2 linked regions of the Notamacropus eugenii genome follow. The protein of the gene in region 1 purifies or fractionates together with the protein of each later gene. This does not show direct contact. Links are inferred from orthologs where the notes say so. Each region holds a gene or a part of one and is shown in the gene's direction. Other genes may lie near its edges.

Region 1 (6,555 bases):
ATACTCTTCATTGTAGAAACTGCTAAATCTTATGTTATTCTGACTGTGGTTCCAAGATATTGGAATTGTTTCTTTTTGGCTGCTTGCAATTGTTTCTCCTTAACCAGGGAGTTTTGAAGTTTGGGTATAATATTCCTGGGAGTTTTCATTTTGGAATCTCTTTCAAGAGGTGATTCTTTTGATTTCTATTTTATTTTCTGGTTCTAGAATATCAAGGCAGTTTTCTTTCATAATTTCTTGGAAGATGGATGTTTAGGCTCCTTTTTTTCATCATGGCTTTCAGGGAGTCCAATAATTCTTAAATTATCTCTCCTGGATTTTTTTCCAGGTCAGTTCTTTTTCCAATGAGATATTTCACATGTTCTATTTTTTTTTATTCTTTGATTTTGTTTTATTGTTTTTTGTTGTTTCATAAAGTCATTAGCTTCCACTTGCCTGAATCTAATTCTTAAGGAATTATTTTCTTCATTGAGCTTTGGTACCTCCTTTTCCATTTGGTCAGTTCCACTTTTTAAGGAATTCTTTTCTTCAGTGGACTTTCATACCTCTTTTGTTTTTTCCCCATTTGACCAGTTCTATTTTTCAAGGCATTCTTCTCTTCACACGATTTTTGAGCCTCTTTTATCTCTTGGTCTATTCTGTTTTTAAGGTGTTATTTTCTTCAGTATTTTTTGTGTCTTTTCTGCAAGCTATTGACTATTTTTTACATGTATCACTCTCATTTTTTTTTGCTTCACTTTCATTTGTCTTCCCAACTTTTCCTCTACTTCTCTCACTTGATTTTTTAAATCCTTTTTGAGTTCTTCAATGGCCTGGGGTCAATTCATATTTTATCTTTGAGGCTTCTAATGCAGCAGTTTTGACTTCGTTATCTTCTGAGTTTGTGTTTTGATCTTCCCTGTTGCCATAGTAATCCCCTATAGTCAGGATCCTTTTTCTGCTCTTTGCCCATTTTCCACAAAAGAAACTGGTACCAAGAATATTCTCTGTTGGGTGGTTTGAATATAGGAATAGCAGCACCTTACCCATGAAAGTGTACCCACAATGTGATTAAAAAATAGATCTTATTCAACTATCACGCATTTATTTTTTTCTCCTACCCACAAGAATGCAAGAATTCTTCTATCACATAAGTACAGTCAAGCAAAATATATTACTTCATTGGTCATATAAAATGTATTTCTTCTTCTGCACATTAGTCCATCATTTTTTTGTCATAAGCTGGGCAGTGTTCTCCTTTATTAGTCTTCTGGAATCATGGTTTATCATTTGATTGCTCTTAGTTCTTAAGTCTTTCCAAATTATTCCTTTTTATAATACTGATGCTATTATATAAATTGTTCTGGTTTTGCTCACTCACTCTGCATTAGTACATTATAAAAGTCATTTCTTGTTTCTTTTCTTAAACCATCTTATTCCTCATTTCTTAGAGCAAATAGTATTATTCAATTATATTTGTGTATCACAGTTTATTCAGCCATTTGTCAATTGACAGTCATCCCCTTAGTTTTAAGTTTTTATTGTTTGCCACCACAAAAAGGTAGCTGTTGCAAGTATTTTTGTATGTATAGAACCTTTCCCACTTTCTTCCATCTCATTGAGTTGTAGGCCTGTTAGGTTAATGGGATATAAGATCTTTCTCTCTCATTAGAGCCCTGGTGCAGAGCCAATTAGACTCTGGGTCACAGGTATTCCCACCCTTCCCCAATTAAGTGCTGATTTCCAAGCTTCACTAAGCCAATCAAGTGCCAAGTCTTTGATTGGAAACAATATATATTGTATTGCTTGGAAGGAAAGGTGTGGGCAGAGAGAGAAGCAGGCAGAGGAATGAACTTGCCTAGGAGAACTTGTTTGTAATGTTGGTGCTGCCTGAATTGGTGATGAGTACCTTACTAAATCTTGGCTTCTGGTATCCTAATAGCAGTGTACCACATATTTTAATTTTATCTTGTAAAAAGGGAGTTTGCTATATTTTGTGAACCATTCATGGAGATATGTGTGTATATTCATAGCAGCTGCCATAGGTATCACGTTGGTGTTACAAGGCTGGGTCAAAGAGCATGCAGAGTTTAGTAATTTTTTAGTAATTTTTGGCAAAATGCCATTCTAAACATTCGTGAAGGAGATATGATTGCCAAAGGCTACTGGGATTAAGGAGAATCTAATTGTTCTTGGACTAGGGGAAGCACTTTGATCTGACCTAATAATTCTAGATCAAATAGCACCTCACTGCCTCCTGCCACTGTTATTGACATGACTGTGCCATCTGAGAACAGACATTCTGCTTCTGAGTCAGCCAGAGCTGGCAAAATTATAAAATATTAGGTAATGTGCCATCATCTAGCCCAAGAAGGCTCTAGAGTTTATAGTAATGTTATGATTATGAGGGCTGTGAGAGCTTATGCTATCCAAACTAAAAAGCAGCCAGAAGTATGGCAATCTCATAAGAAAACTAATGGTGTGAGATGAAATTGATGGAATAAAAGATACATACGTCTAGTACATCAACCATATGAGACAATGTGGATATTATAAATGAAGAATGTTGATCTGTTTAATTATTATTTTAGTTGAACTTGCTCTTTTTACATCATAGATATTAACTTTTTTATTTCTCATTTGTCTTGTAAGTACCTGTGACATTATTATTTCTTTCACCTTATTTTTAAGTAAGTGGTTATATTTAAGACCTAATTGTAATCGCTGTGTATGGATTTGCCCACATTAGAGTAGACTTGAGAGTATTAAAAGATTACTTTGTGGCAGGAATATAAAAGAAAGCTAAAAACAACCCCTGCTTTAAAGGAGCATCAATATGAATGCAAAGAACTATGTGCAAATAAGCTAGTAAAGCTTTAGAACTGCACTAAGTCTTTTGGGACATGCTGTATACAGGATATTTTGGAGGAAATTTCAGAGAAAACATATTAGGGCTAACTAGGGGGATTTGTGAAAGGTTTTAAGTAGTGACTAGTGTGCATATTTCATCCACAACTGAATTTGAGTGTAGTTAAGCTACAGGGTAGTGATTCTTCTCTGAAGGCTTAGATCCATAGAAATGTCGTGTGAGGTGGGCTGTGTGTGTGTGTGTGTGTATAAAATAATTTTGAGTAAGATTTAAAGAATGACCATATAACAGTCAGATCATGCGAACTTAATAGTTTCACTGTACAACACATCGATTATACTTTGCTACAATGACTGTGTTGCTTTCTTCTACTTGTATTCCCAATGCTTAGCACAGTGCCTGGCACACAGTAAGCACTTAATAAATGCAAATCTATAATAAAATAAAAAGTTTTAAAATTTAAAACCAGATTGACTTATAGCTTTTTTTTCCTCCCTTCTCCCCCACCTATAGATGAGAAAATGTTCTTTCTCCTTATTCTGTTATCTCATCAGAAATATGCAACAGACAACACTACATATGTATGTATATATATTCATATATATGTATATATATACATATATATACTCTTTCAATTCCTTCACAGCAGCAAATTATACAGTTTAAACTGCATTTTTCCCCCCAATGGAAAAAAATTCCAAACTAAACTCAGATAAGAACTATTTTCACATATGACCACTCACTACTACACAGGACTCAAATGCTGAATGGAATGTCTTTCATGTGCTCAAGGCAGATCCAGGGGACATTTTCCCCCCAGGCTGGAGATGAGGGCACTGATTCCTTCTACTTGATTTTCACAGGAGATGGGGCTTGTGTTGCGATGCCCAAGGCCGGGTCGCCTCGCTCGTGGCGGGACTTCTTAGGCTCCGGATTCGGCCTCGCCTGGTCCTCAAATCCTTCAGATGCAGCAGACACGAGCCCGGACCAGGCCTGCAGGTAGGGAGGCCATGGTGCAAACCTGGGCACCTGCCGGCTTGTCAGTGCGCGTTCTGGACCAAGCACTCGGCTAGGCGCTGGGTATAAGGTCCCGGCTGTCGGAGAGCTCACGGTCTGACGGGGGAGGCAACACTAGGACAAGATGGAGACCGAATACATTCGGGATAGGCTCGGAAGGAGAGATGGCATTCTTCACAGAAACTGCTGCCACTGCTCCCAGAATGGGGGCTTCTGCAGACAGTTATAAGCCCGATAAAGAGCAAGGTGAAGACGGAAGTATATACTTGGAATCTTGGCTTACACTCCGCCTCCACGGTTTCTGTACCAATCACAACATTGCAAGCGCCATGACGCCTCGTCTTCCCTCCCTCTTCCCGCCTCTTCCCTTACAGGGCACCGTCGGGTGAGTGACGTAATCACGTTCTGGCGTGACCACGCACAGCGGTGCGTGACTCGCGACTCTGCCGGCGGAAGTATCTACTTCCGTTTTGACCTGCGCAGGCCGGCCACTGCCCGGTCCGTGTCGGGACTTGGGGCACTTGTCCCCTCGGTCCGCCATGGGGCGCACGTCCAAGGACAAGCGCGATGTCTATTACCGGCTGGCTAAGGAGGAGGGCTGGCGGGCCCGCAGCGCCTTCAAGCTGCTGCAGCTGGACGAGGAGTTCCAGCTCTTCAGCGGCGTGAGGCGGGCCGTGGATCTGTGCGCCGCCCCCGGGAGCTGGAGCCAGGTGCTGAGCCGCAAGCTCGGAGGCTCCGGGTCGCCGGCCTGCATCGTGGCCGTGGACCTGCAGGCCATGGCGCCCTTGCCCGGGGTGGTGCAGATCCAGGGGGACATCACCAAGGTGTCCACGGCGCAGGAGATCATCGGGCACTTCGAGGGGCAGCCGGCGGACCTGGTGGTGTGTGACGGCGCCCCCGACGTCACCGGTCTGCACGACATCGACGAGTACATCCAGGCGCAGCTCCTCCTGGCCGCCCTCAACATCGCCATCCACGTCCTGAAGCCCGGCGGCAACTTCGTGGCCAAGATCTTCCGCGGCCGGGACGTCACCCTGCTCTACTCGCAGCTGCGCCTCTTCTTCCCCGACGTGGTGTGTGCCAAGCCCAGGAGCAGCCGCAACTCGAGCATCGAGGCCTTCGCCGTGTGCCGGGGCTTTACGCTCCCGGCCGGCTACGTGCCCAGCATGCTGAACCCCCTGCTGGACCACAGCTACCAGGGCGACTTCAACCAGCTCGAGGGCCCCACACGGCTCATCGTACCCTTCCTGGCCTGCGGGGACCTCAGTGCCTATGACGCGGACCGCACCTACCCCCTGCAGCTGGAGGGGAGCCCCGAGTACCGGTACACGCCGCCGGCCCAGCCCCCCATCCGGCCGCCCTACCAAGAGGCCTGCAAACTCAAGAAGTCTGGGGGTCTGGGCCGGGGCACACTGCAGCCCGGGGCTCTGCCGGATGCCCAGGAGCAGGCAGCTGCCCAGCCCGAGAAGGAGGGCGAGCAGGCTGTGACCCAAGCCCTGGGCTCCATTTCCCTGGACCCCTAAGGAGGATTCCTTCCCCCCTCCCCCAAAAGGGCCTCTGGGAACATCCCTACTGCACTGGAGCGGGGGCGGGGGGGGGGGGGGGAAGGGGGTGTAAAACTCAAGTGCAAGCTCTTCCTTTGGCTATTCCTCCTAAACATAGCAGACCTTTAGTCGGAATTGGCAGAGGTGGGATGCGGTGAGGGAGAATATTTATACATACGTACGTATATAGACACGTATATGTGTATGTTTACACACATATATTTGAGACACCTTAAGATTTACATTTATAAAATAAAATTTCTTGTTTTTGTTAGATCTTTGTCTATTTTCTTTTTAAAAATTCATTTCATTGATGTCTTTTTTTGTTACCTAAATTCCTTCTAATATCCATCCTCCCAGTGAACCATTCCATAAATAATAGATTTATATTAACAAAAGGAAGTAGAGGAGAAAAAAAGCCAGCAAAGCACATTACTTTGTAAAAATCTGAAAATATATGCAAAGTTACAAACTGGGGGAAGCTCCCACCTCCGCAAAGTAGTAGAGGAAGGTATTTTCTATTATCTTTTGGGGTCATGTTTGTAATTTGTAGTTCTACAAGCATTCACTTTTAGGTATTTTGTGGTGGTTCGATTTCTCTCTGTGGTTGAGGGAATTTGGATTTTTGCTTCTTGGAATAGGAACTAACACAGGTGTTGATTGTTGAGTGACTTATCCTAACTTTATGATTTTCTATATTTAACTTGATTAATGTTTTATTTTTCTTTGTTTAAAATTTAACCAGAATTAGAGTACAAATTCTTAGGTGCAAAATCACAACACTAACTCAAATCTCTCAGAAGTTGTTTATTCTTTATTCTGAGTTTTTTTTTTTTTGTCAGAAACAGTCTTTGAGAAGCATGGCGTTATTTGCTACGTCTTTGCTTTGTTTATTAGATGTTTATTTCAAACTTAGAGAATTTTGCAAATAGCCAATTTTCTTTACAAAGTAAAAAAAAAATTACAAAAGTGAATGTCCAAAATGCTTAGGAATCATGTCAAGGAGAAAAAGAACATTTTTTGAATAGGGAAACTTTAAATTGAAAAACTATCAGGTATGTGGGTGAAGCAGTGTCCAGAGAAAAAAGGAACAGGTTTTTGCAGGCTAGAGAAGGGAAATGTTCCCACCCTTCACATGGGAGTAGA
Region 2 (7,595 bases), on another chromosome or scaffold:
GACTGTAATACACACTGTAGGGAAGTAGTCCTCAAACTCTTCCACAGTGGGAGGATCCTTCAGTTTCTAAAGAAAACTTTGGCAGAAGCCTTGACATAAAATCCTCTGAACTGATTATTTTTTTACTGTTTTTTTTTTTAATTTTTAGATTATTTATTGTATTTCATCTTTTTTATTAACTAATTTTATTTATTTTCAGTGTTCTACAATAACTACCATATAACTTAGATTATTATTTTCCCTCCCTCCTCCCTACCTTCCCCCTCCCTCCTCCCTACCTTCCCCCTCCCTCCCCAAGACAGCATGCAGTTTTGTATAGGTTCTATACATATATTCCTATTAAATACATTTTCACCTCAGTCATGCTATGTTGAAGAATTATAATGAGTGGGAGATATCATCTAACAAACCAAAACGCAATGTGCATGCACACACGCACGCACACACACACCACACACACACAGATGATCTGCTACATTCTGCAATTGAATTCCATAGTTCTTTCTCTGGATGTGGAAGGCATTTTGCCTTAGAAGACCATTGCTGTGAAGTTCACGCACCGTGGTAGTTGTTGTGCACAAAGTTCTCCTGGCTCTGCTCCTTTCACTCAGCATCAGTTCATATAAGTCTTGCCAGGCCTCTCTGAAGTCTTCTTGTTCATCATTTCTTATAGTACAATAGTATTCCATTATTTTCATATACCACAATTTATTCAGCCATTCCCCAGTGGATGGGCATCTCCTTGATTTCCAGTTTTTGGCCACCACAAAGAGAGCTGCTATAAGTATTCTTGTACATGTGGGGCCCTTTCCCGTTTTTATGATCTCTTGGGGATACAGTCCTAGAAACAATGTTGCTGGGTCGAAGGGTATGCACATTTTTGTAGCCCTTTGAGCATATAAACTGATTATTTTTAATGCCAATTAACAAAAGATGTATGTCCATTTAAAAAAAAAAGCTTGGAGCATTTTAGGGTTCTTTTCAGCACCATTGGAGAAATACTATAGAGATCAGGGCAAGCTTCATGGAAGCGATGACATTTGAATTTGGATTTAAAGGATGGATAGGAATTCAGGTAAACTAGTCCTCATATAAGACTGGAAGAGGGGCTATTAGAATAGGTTGGGGTAGGGTATCAGAAATATCATGAACAAGGAACAAGACATTTGGCAGGTCAGGGAGGTGGTAATATGAGATAAGTTTGGAAATGTAGGGCAGCAGCAGATTTAGGACCTTGGGTACTGAGCAAAGACATTTGATCTTCACTCAGTCCAGTAATTGTAAAAGTGAATGGTTAGGTGGTTTGGTGAATAGAGCACTGATCCTGGAGTCAGGAAGACCTGAGTTCAAATGTGACCTCAGATACTTACTAGCTGAGTGACCCTGGTCAAGTCACTTAAGCTCTGTTTGCCTTAATCCACTGGAGAAGAAAATGACAAACCCCTTCAGTATCATCGCTAAGAAAACCCCTGGACAGTATCGGTCCATGGGGTCACAGAGTGTCAGACAGGACTGAGCAACAGCAGAGGCCTTATGCTCAGGTACAGGCTACCAAGCAACAAGCATTTATGAAGCACTTACCATATCCCAGACACTTTGCTAAGTACAGGAGGTAAAAATAATAGTAGTAAAAAAAGAAGACAGCTGTTGCTGTCTTACAAATGGGGCAAATCAGTTCATAAAAAGTGCAATAGAATGGAGGCAAGGAATGCTGGAGAGGTGGAAAAGACGGGATGCTTTTAAGTGACTGAATATGGAAGGAGCAGGGAAGAGGAAAGAGAAGGTAACGGCACCAGGTTATGAATGTGAGACTGACTGGAGGTTCCCCAGTGGAGGTGGTCGTTTGGAGGAAAAGATCAGCTCCGTTTGGGGCATGTTGAATTTGAGGCACCAGTGAAATATCCAGGTAGGGTTGGCCTGTTGGGAAGTTGGGAGTGTTTTGGAGCTCAGAAGAGGGACAAGGGCTGAAGACAAAAACTGAGGTCATATTTAGAAAGACAAGAAGCCATGAAGTCTTGTGTAACTGAAAGAGGTACATGCATTTGTATGTGGCTCAGATCTCTTTTACTTTGAGAGCCTAGACAAGCTCTGGATCCTGGTCCTTTCTCGAAATGGCTCTGATGCATCATTAATGTCATGAGCTCTTCCCTATCCAAGCTCTGTTTTCTGCTGGGTGGCTCATTGTTTGATCTCTCTCCCTCTTTCTCCAGGTTGGGTAGGAGAATTGGATGAATATTCGTTGCATGGTGGCTGTCTGGTCACCCAGGGAACCAAATGGATAGCTAATAACTGGATCAATGTAGACCCCAGCAAGAGTCGCCAGATCCGGTTCCATCAGGAAATGGCCCGTTATGGCCAGGAGGAGCTTGAGGCCCAGCCTGAGTGGACAGTGGACAAATCTTACAAGAATGTGCATGTAGAGCTCTGATGGTGGGGGTGGGGTCAGAGACAGCCACAGGCCAAGCTGGAGCAGCCCATTCAGTGACATCATGGCAGCCTTGGTACACTATTTGCTTTAACAGAAAGCTGATCTGTTCTTTGCCTTTTCAGCCAGGAAGGCTCTGAGATGATATCTGAGCTATGAGGCTTGGGGTTTTCATACGAATGTTGAATTAGTGAGAAAATGTGGCAGCCATGAGCACCCACAGGAGCCCTACAGCCCTGTGTCCATGGAATTTTTCCAGGAAAAAAAGGCCTGAAAGGATTTTCAAAGAATGAATTTACTGGGAGTCCAAATGAGTTCACCTCATGGGTTCACCTCCCTGTGGCTTCTGGAGCCTTCTCTGGGGGTGTGGTCGTTTGTTCCCATATTTCCATAGAAATCTCCTAGTAGTTTGTAGCTCCCCGGTACAAACCCAGGCTGTGGCTGGGGAAGAAAGCGGTTCATTTTGAGGGCAGCAGCTTCCTGTTCGACAAATGGGGAAAAGCTTCAAGTCTGCCTTAAGTCCTTGGTGTGTCTGTAAGAAGGGAAACAGGCCAGCATCTGATCCTCACCTTCTTGCCCTATAGTTGAGGAAAATTTAAGCCCTTAAATTATTTGTAGAAATGTCACTGTCACCAGGAAAAAGAAAAAGCTGATTTGGTGCTTAAGAGTTCTAGGGCAGGGATTTGGGGAGGTGTGGGTGGGAGAATACTGGCTAATTCCTAAGTTTCTCTAGGAACCTGGATCCCTGAGTGAAATGCTCCTTTTTGTTTTTGTTGTCACACTGTTCCGATGGCCAAGGTGGGTGTTCAGGTCTTCCCACTGTAAGGATAATGCAGCCCTCAAAGCCAGACTTCCTGGTGCTCAGGGTTCATGTGGGAGAGAGACAATCATGGCGGAGCGGAATAGGACCTTGGAGATGAGTTCGTCTGGCCCTCTCGGACCCCAGGCTGAGGAAGCAGTGACCTGGCCAAGGTCACCTCGTGCTGATGAACGAGCCAGGACCAGGAGCCTTACCTGCAGCGGGACGAGGGCGCGTAGCAATGGTTTCTTCTCAGGGGAAAACAGGCTTTATTCATGCCGAAGTATAAATTATTGGGGGAAAAGGGAAACTTTTAAAGTGCAATAGTAACAGTTTTACGGAATGAAGCGTTCTGTTTGCTTTTTCGTTTGAACCCGAGTTCTGTGCAGGCAGCGGGGGGCCCGTCCGCGGTTTCAGAGGCGCTGGCTGCCTACTAGGCTCGTTCAGAAAAGGCACTGTGCCCGTGCCCTCTGAGGTCGGGACCCTCGCTGCCCCTGCCGGGTCCTTGCCAGGTCTGTCACCGCGGCTGCGTCTCATCCTGCCCGTGCCACTGGTGACTGGTACAAGCACGCTCCTGCACCCCCACACACGCGTCCTTCAGGAGGGCTGGACCAGAGACTCGGGTCCTCCACACTCGGGAGGCCACTGCCAGGCTCGGCGGGGGGAGGGACCGCCTGGGCTGCGTGCCCTGCCCCCACCCCGGGGGGTCCGGACCCTCGGAGTGCCCGGCCTGGGCAGGTCTGCGGGCCGCCCAGGGCTGCAGCCCCCCGTCCTGCGCCACTCGGTGTGCTGCTGCGTGCGGACCCCACGGCCTTCCAAAACGGCCACGTAAAAAGGGAAAGCTTCGAGCGGCCCGGACTTCCTGCGGGGCTGGCGGAACGAGGGGCACCGTGAGCCACGGGCCGCCCGGCGGCGGAAGGGGCCTGGCAGCAGACCGGGTAGGGGGCGTAGGGCGGCGCTTCCCAGGTACCCAGCGTCCAGAGTCACGTGGCGGGGGGAAGGCCCATTGGTCGCCTGGTAGGACGGCCTCCCACTGACTGCTCCAATCGCTCGCAAGACCGATGAAACGGGCCAATGACGGCCGGCGTCGGGAGCTTCGGGCCGGGAAGGCGGCCAGCGACGGGCCCCTCCATTGGCTGCGATGCCGCCTCGGGCCCGCGTGGCCCCGGCGTGCGTGCATGCGTGCGTGCCGGGCGGCGTGCGTGCGGCGTGCGTGCGGCGTGCCGGCCTCCGAGCCTCGGCCAGGGCCATGGCGCCTCCTGCGGGGAAGGCGGAGTCGCTGCTGCTGCTGGCGCCGGTCACTGCCCTGCGCTTTGTGGGGGACCGCGTTGTGGCAGGTAAGGGGGTTCGGGCCGGACCCCCGGGCCGCGTCGCGCTGCGGGCCCCGGGAAGCCGAGGACCTCTCCCTCCGTGGGCGGCACGCGGAGCCGAGCTCGCCCTTCGGCCCACGAGGCTGTGGGAGCAGCCTGGGTCCGACGGGAAACTGAGGCAGGGGTAGGCCAGGGGCGCGCACGGGGACCTGGGCCGGGGGCGGCCCCTCCCGCCCTTAGTTGGCCCCCCGGCGGGTCTGCCCGTTTGCGGCCCCTGGCTTCCTGGGCACGTAAGCGATAGTAACGTTGGGGGCCAGAAGGAGCTGAGACTCCCGTGCCCAGAGCGCCCCCAGACCGAGGGGCAGAGCAGGGCAGCCCCGAGCCTGGCGAGGCAGCTCCTCGCGGGGTAAAACGGGGCGTTGGGCTCCTGGCAGAAATCCAGCCGCCTCGGGGAAGGCTGCCCGACGGGCCACCAGGGTCCCGTGGCTCCGCGATGCCCTTGGCCCCGCACACATCGGGCTGTTTGTGCCCGGAGTCAGGCGCTGCCAGGCCCACGCCAAGCATCGTTGGGCGTTTACTGTGCCAAACGGTGGGCACGCAGAGGAGGGCACAGGCCGTGCAATGCCGTGAAGCCGCGCGCGTTCTGAAGAAGGGGACGGCCGGCCCATTACGGGGTGCGCACGAGACAGACAGCCCCCCCCACGCAGCCAGGAAGGCTGGGAAAGGCGGGATTGGGAGAAAATCAGGGAAACTGAGGCAGAGGTGAGAGGGCAGGAGCCCTCCGCGAATGGAAAAGCACAGACGTCTGGGATGCCATGTTGCGGACCTGAAGTAGGTCAGTGTGACTGAGTATGTGGAAGGGCATCAAAGGTAAGAAGGGTCCAGACGTTAGGAAGGCTTACATGCCAGCTGGAGTTTCTCTTTGATCCCGGTGGCAATAGGGACTGGTACACCTAGTACTTTGTCTGGAAGATGAGGAGGATAGCTAAGGCCCAGAAAGTGACCTGCTCAGGATCACACAAAGACTCTTTCCTTTGGACCCAGAACTTGGAGCTAATTGAATAGAGAAGCTGTTAAATTGCAATCCCCTTGAGGGCAGGGGCTGTCTTTTGCCTCTTTATATCCCCAGCGCTTAGCACGGTATCTAGCCTTCAGGAGGCCCTTAAAAAATGCATGTTGATTGATTGAGAGGTGATGTGATTGGAAGAATCATCTTGGCAGCTGAGAAAAGGCTTTTAAATTTGGTAATCAAGAGATTATTCGTGACTATAGAAAGGGCAGTTTTAGTTGAATGAAGTCAGAAGTCAATTTACAAAGGGTCTTGAAGAGTGAAGAGAGGCACTGATTGTAGACTCCTTTCTCAAGCTTAGCCACGATGAGGAAATGTATAAATGTTAGCGAGAGGGGGCACTTGGATCAAGCATTCTTCAAGGCTGGGGCAGCAGGAAAAGAGCCAGTAGATAGGGAAAGCTTGAAGAGGAGGGCTGGGAATGATAGCAGGGACAAGTCACAGGGAGGGAATGGGATCAAGGGCTTGTCTTGGCAATTAGAGATGCCACCTCTTCACCTGAGGCTGGGATAAGAGGAGATGGCTGAGTGATAGAAGATGAGGAAAGAAAAAGGCAAGCCTCCATGGGAATGGGGAGGGTGGACTAAGTTAAGGCCTTGGAGAGATGAGGAAGTTTGGAAACGCAACTGTGGACAGTGGGTGAGAGTCAGTCCTGGACCAAGAGTGTCTGCCTGGCTTCTGTTGTAGCAGTAGGCCTCATCAGCAGTTTTGTTCAGGAGCCCGTGAATAGGAGTGAAGGATGCAGATGGTGGAAGTAATCCAGGATTGGGGCTTGGCCAGGCCTGAGTCCCAATAGGACAGGGAGGCAAGAGAATCATGGTCATACACTCTTGGCCAGTGGCGGCTTGGAGGCAGAGGACCTGGTTTCAGAACCCCAGGTCACTTGCTACTTGAACCCCACATTTCCTCTAAGGTCATATTTACAGGGACTTCATCTTATTCTGAATGTATGTGTTGGTAACCTTGATTTTATTTTACTTTTTTGCTGTCCAGGTGAAGGGCCCAACTTACTAATCTATTGTTTGGAAACTGGTGGGCAGCTTATAGCAACCCAGTTTGTGCCAAGTGTCCTCTGTCATTATCACATCCATGGCATCAGGGAACTTCAGAGCCCAGCGTCTCCCCAGGCCTCAGCAACAACCTTGGCTGTCTTTGGAAGCAAAGGCCTCCGTGTGCTGACATTGAGCTGGGGGGAGGGAGCAGTGAAGCTGACGTGGCTCTCCCAGCTCTGTGAGCTTCATGACTGGATCTGGGACCTTCACTGGCTTCAGGACCCTGGAAAAGCCACTTCTGCCCTGGCCCTCGCCCTGGGACACAACTCAGTGGTCCTTTATGACTACATGCATCAGCAGGCCTTGCAAGAGGTACAGTGTGACGAGGTGTGTATTATCTATTCTGCTTGCCTGGTAGGGAAGGACTGGCAGGAGCTGGTGCTGGTGGCTGGAACTGTCTTTAACCAGCTTGTGATTTGGCGCCCAGCTGATTTCACCAATGAGGAAGGAACAGTCAGAGTAGAGAGAAGGATAAGTGGGCACAGTGGGGTCATCTTCAGCATCTGCCATCTGGAGAGCAAAGGTCTTCTAGCCTCGGCTTCTGACGACCGGAGCATTCGGGTCTGGAGAGTGGGGGACCTGAGGGCCCCTCACAGCTCGGCTCAGTGTATCCTGGTATGTTATGGTCACCAGTCCAGGGTGTGGTCTGTCCAGCTCCTGGACAACTATATCATTAGCATTGGAGAGGATTCAGCTTGCATCGTATGGAATTACATTGGTGAAATAGTTCAGACATTCAAAGGACACAGAGGTCGTAGCATCAGAGCTGTGGCTGTCCACAAAACACAAGCCTGGGTGGTCACAGGTGGAGCTGATTCGGGCATCAGACTTTGGCCCCTTAAAGGGAACAGGCTTCTGGGCAACAGTCTCTTAGCACTAGGCTTTGGTTCATTCACACAGAAGGGATCTCCGAAAGCCTTAGCGTTGATCAGTCCTTCAT

Evidence for each region.
Region 2: the proteins of FTSJ1 (region 1) and WDR6 purify together in Homo sapiens (affinity purification with mass spectrometry; 3 studies listed by BioGRID and IntAct, with this or other methods). This does not show direct contact. The link is inferred for Notamacropus eugenii from reciprocal best matches to the Homo sapiens genes FTSJ1 and WDR6.

Annotation. Positions count from the first base shown.
Region 1 is NC_092876.1:91,477,239-91,483,793, forward strand, and holds FTSJ1 (tRNA (cytidine(32)/guanosine(34)-2'-O)-methyltransferase), read left to right. Parts: upstream 1-4,261; 5' UTR 4,262-4,404; coding exon 4,405-5,388; 3' UTR 5,389-5,683; downstream 5,684-6,555. UniProt on the Homo sapiens protein: Methylates the 2'-O-ribose of nucleotides at positions 32 and 34 of the tRNA anticodon loop of substrate tRNAs. Requisite for faithful cytoplasmic translation.
Region 2 is NC_092872.1:7,373,918-7,381,512, reverse strand, and holds the start of WDR6 (tRNA (34-2'-O)-methyltransferase regulator WDR6), read left to right. Parts: upstream 1-4,331; 5' UTR 4,332-4,365; coding exon 4,366-4,561; intron 4,562-5,173; exon of another isoform or gene 5,174-5,344; coding exon of another isoform or gene 5,345-5,369; exon of another isoform or gene 5,370-5,385; coding exon of another isoform or gene 5,386-5,404; intron 5,405-6,596; coding exon 6,597-7,595. Other genes in the region: P4HTM (transmembrane prolyl 4-hydroxylase), read left to right, coding at 2,211-2,428. UniProt on the Homo sapiens protein: Together with methyltransferase FTSJ1, methylates the 2'-O-ribose of nucleotides at position 34 of the tRNA anticodon loop of substrate tRNAs. Required for the correct positioning of the substrate tRNA for methylation.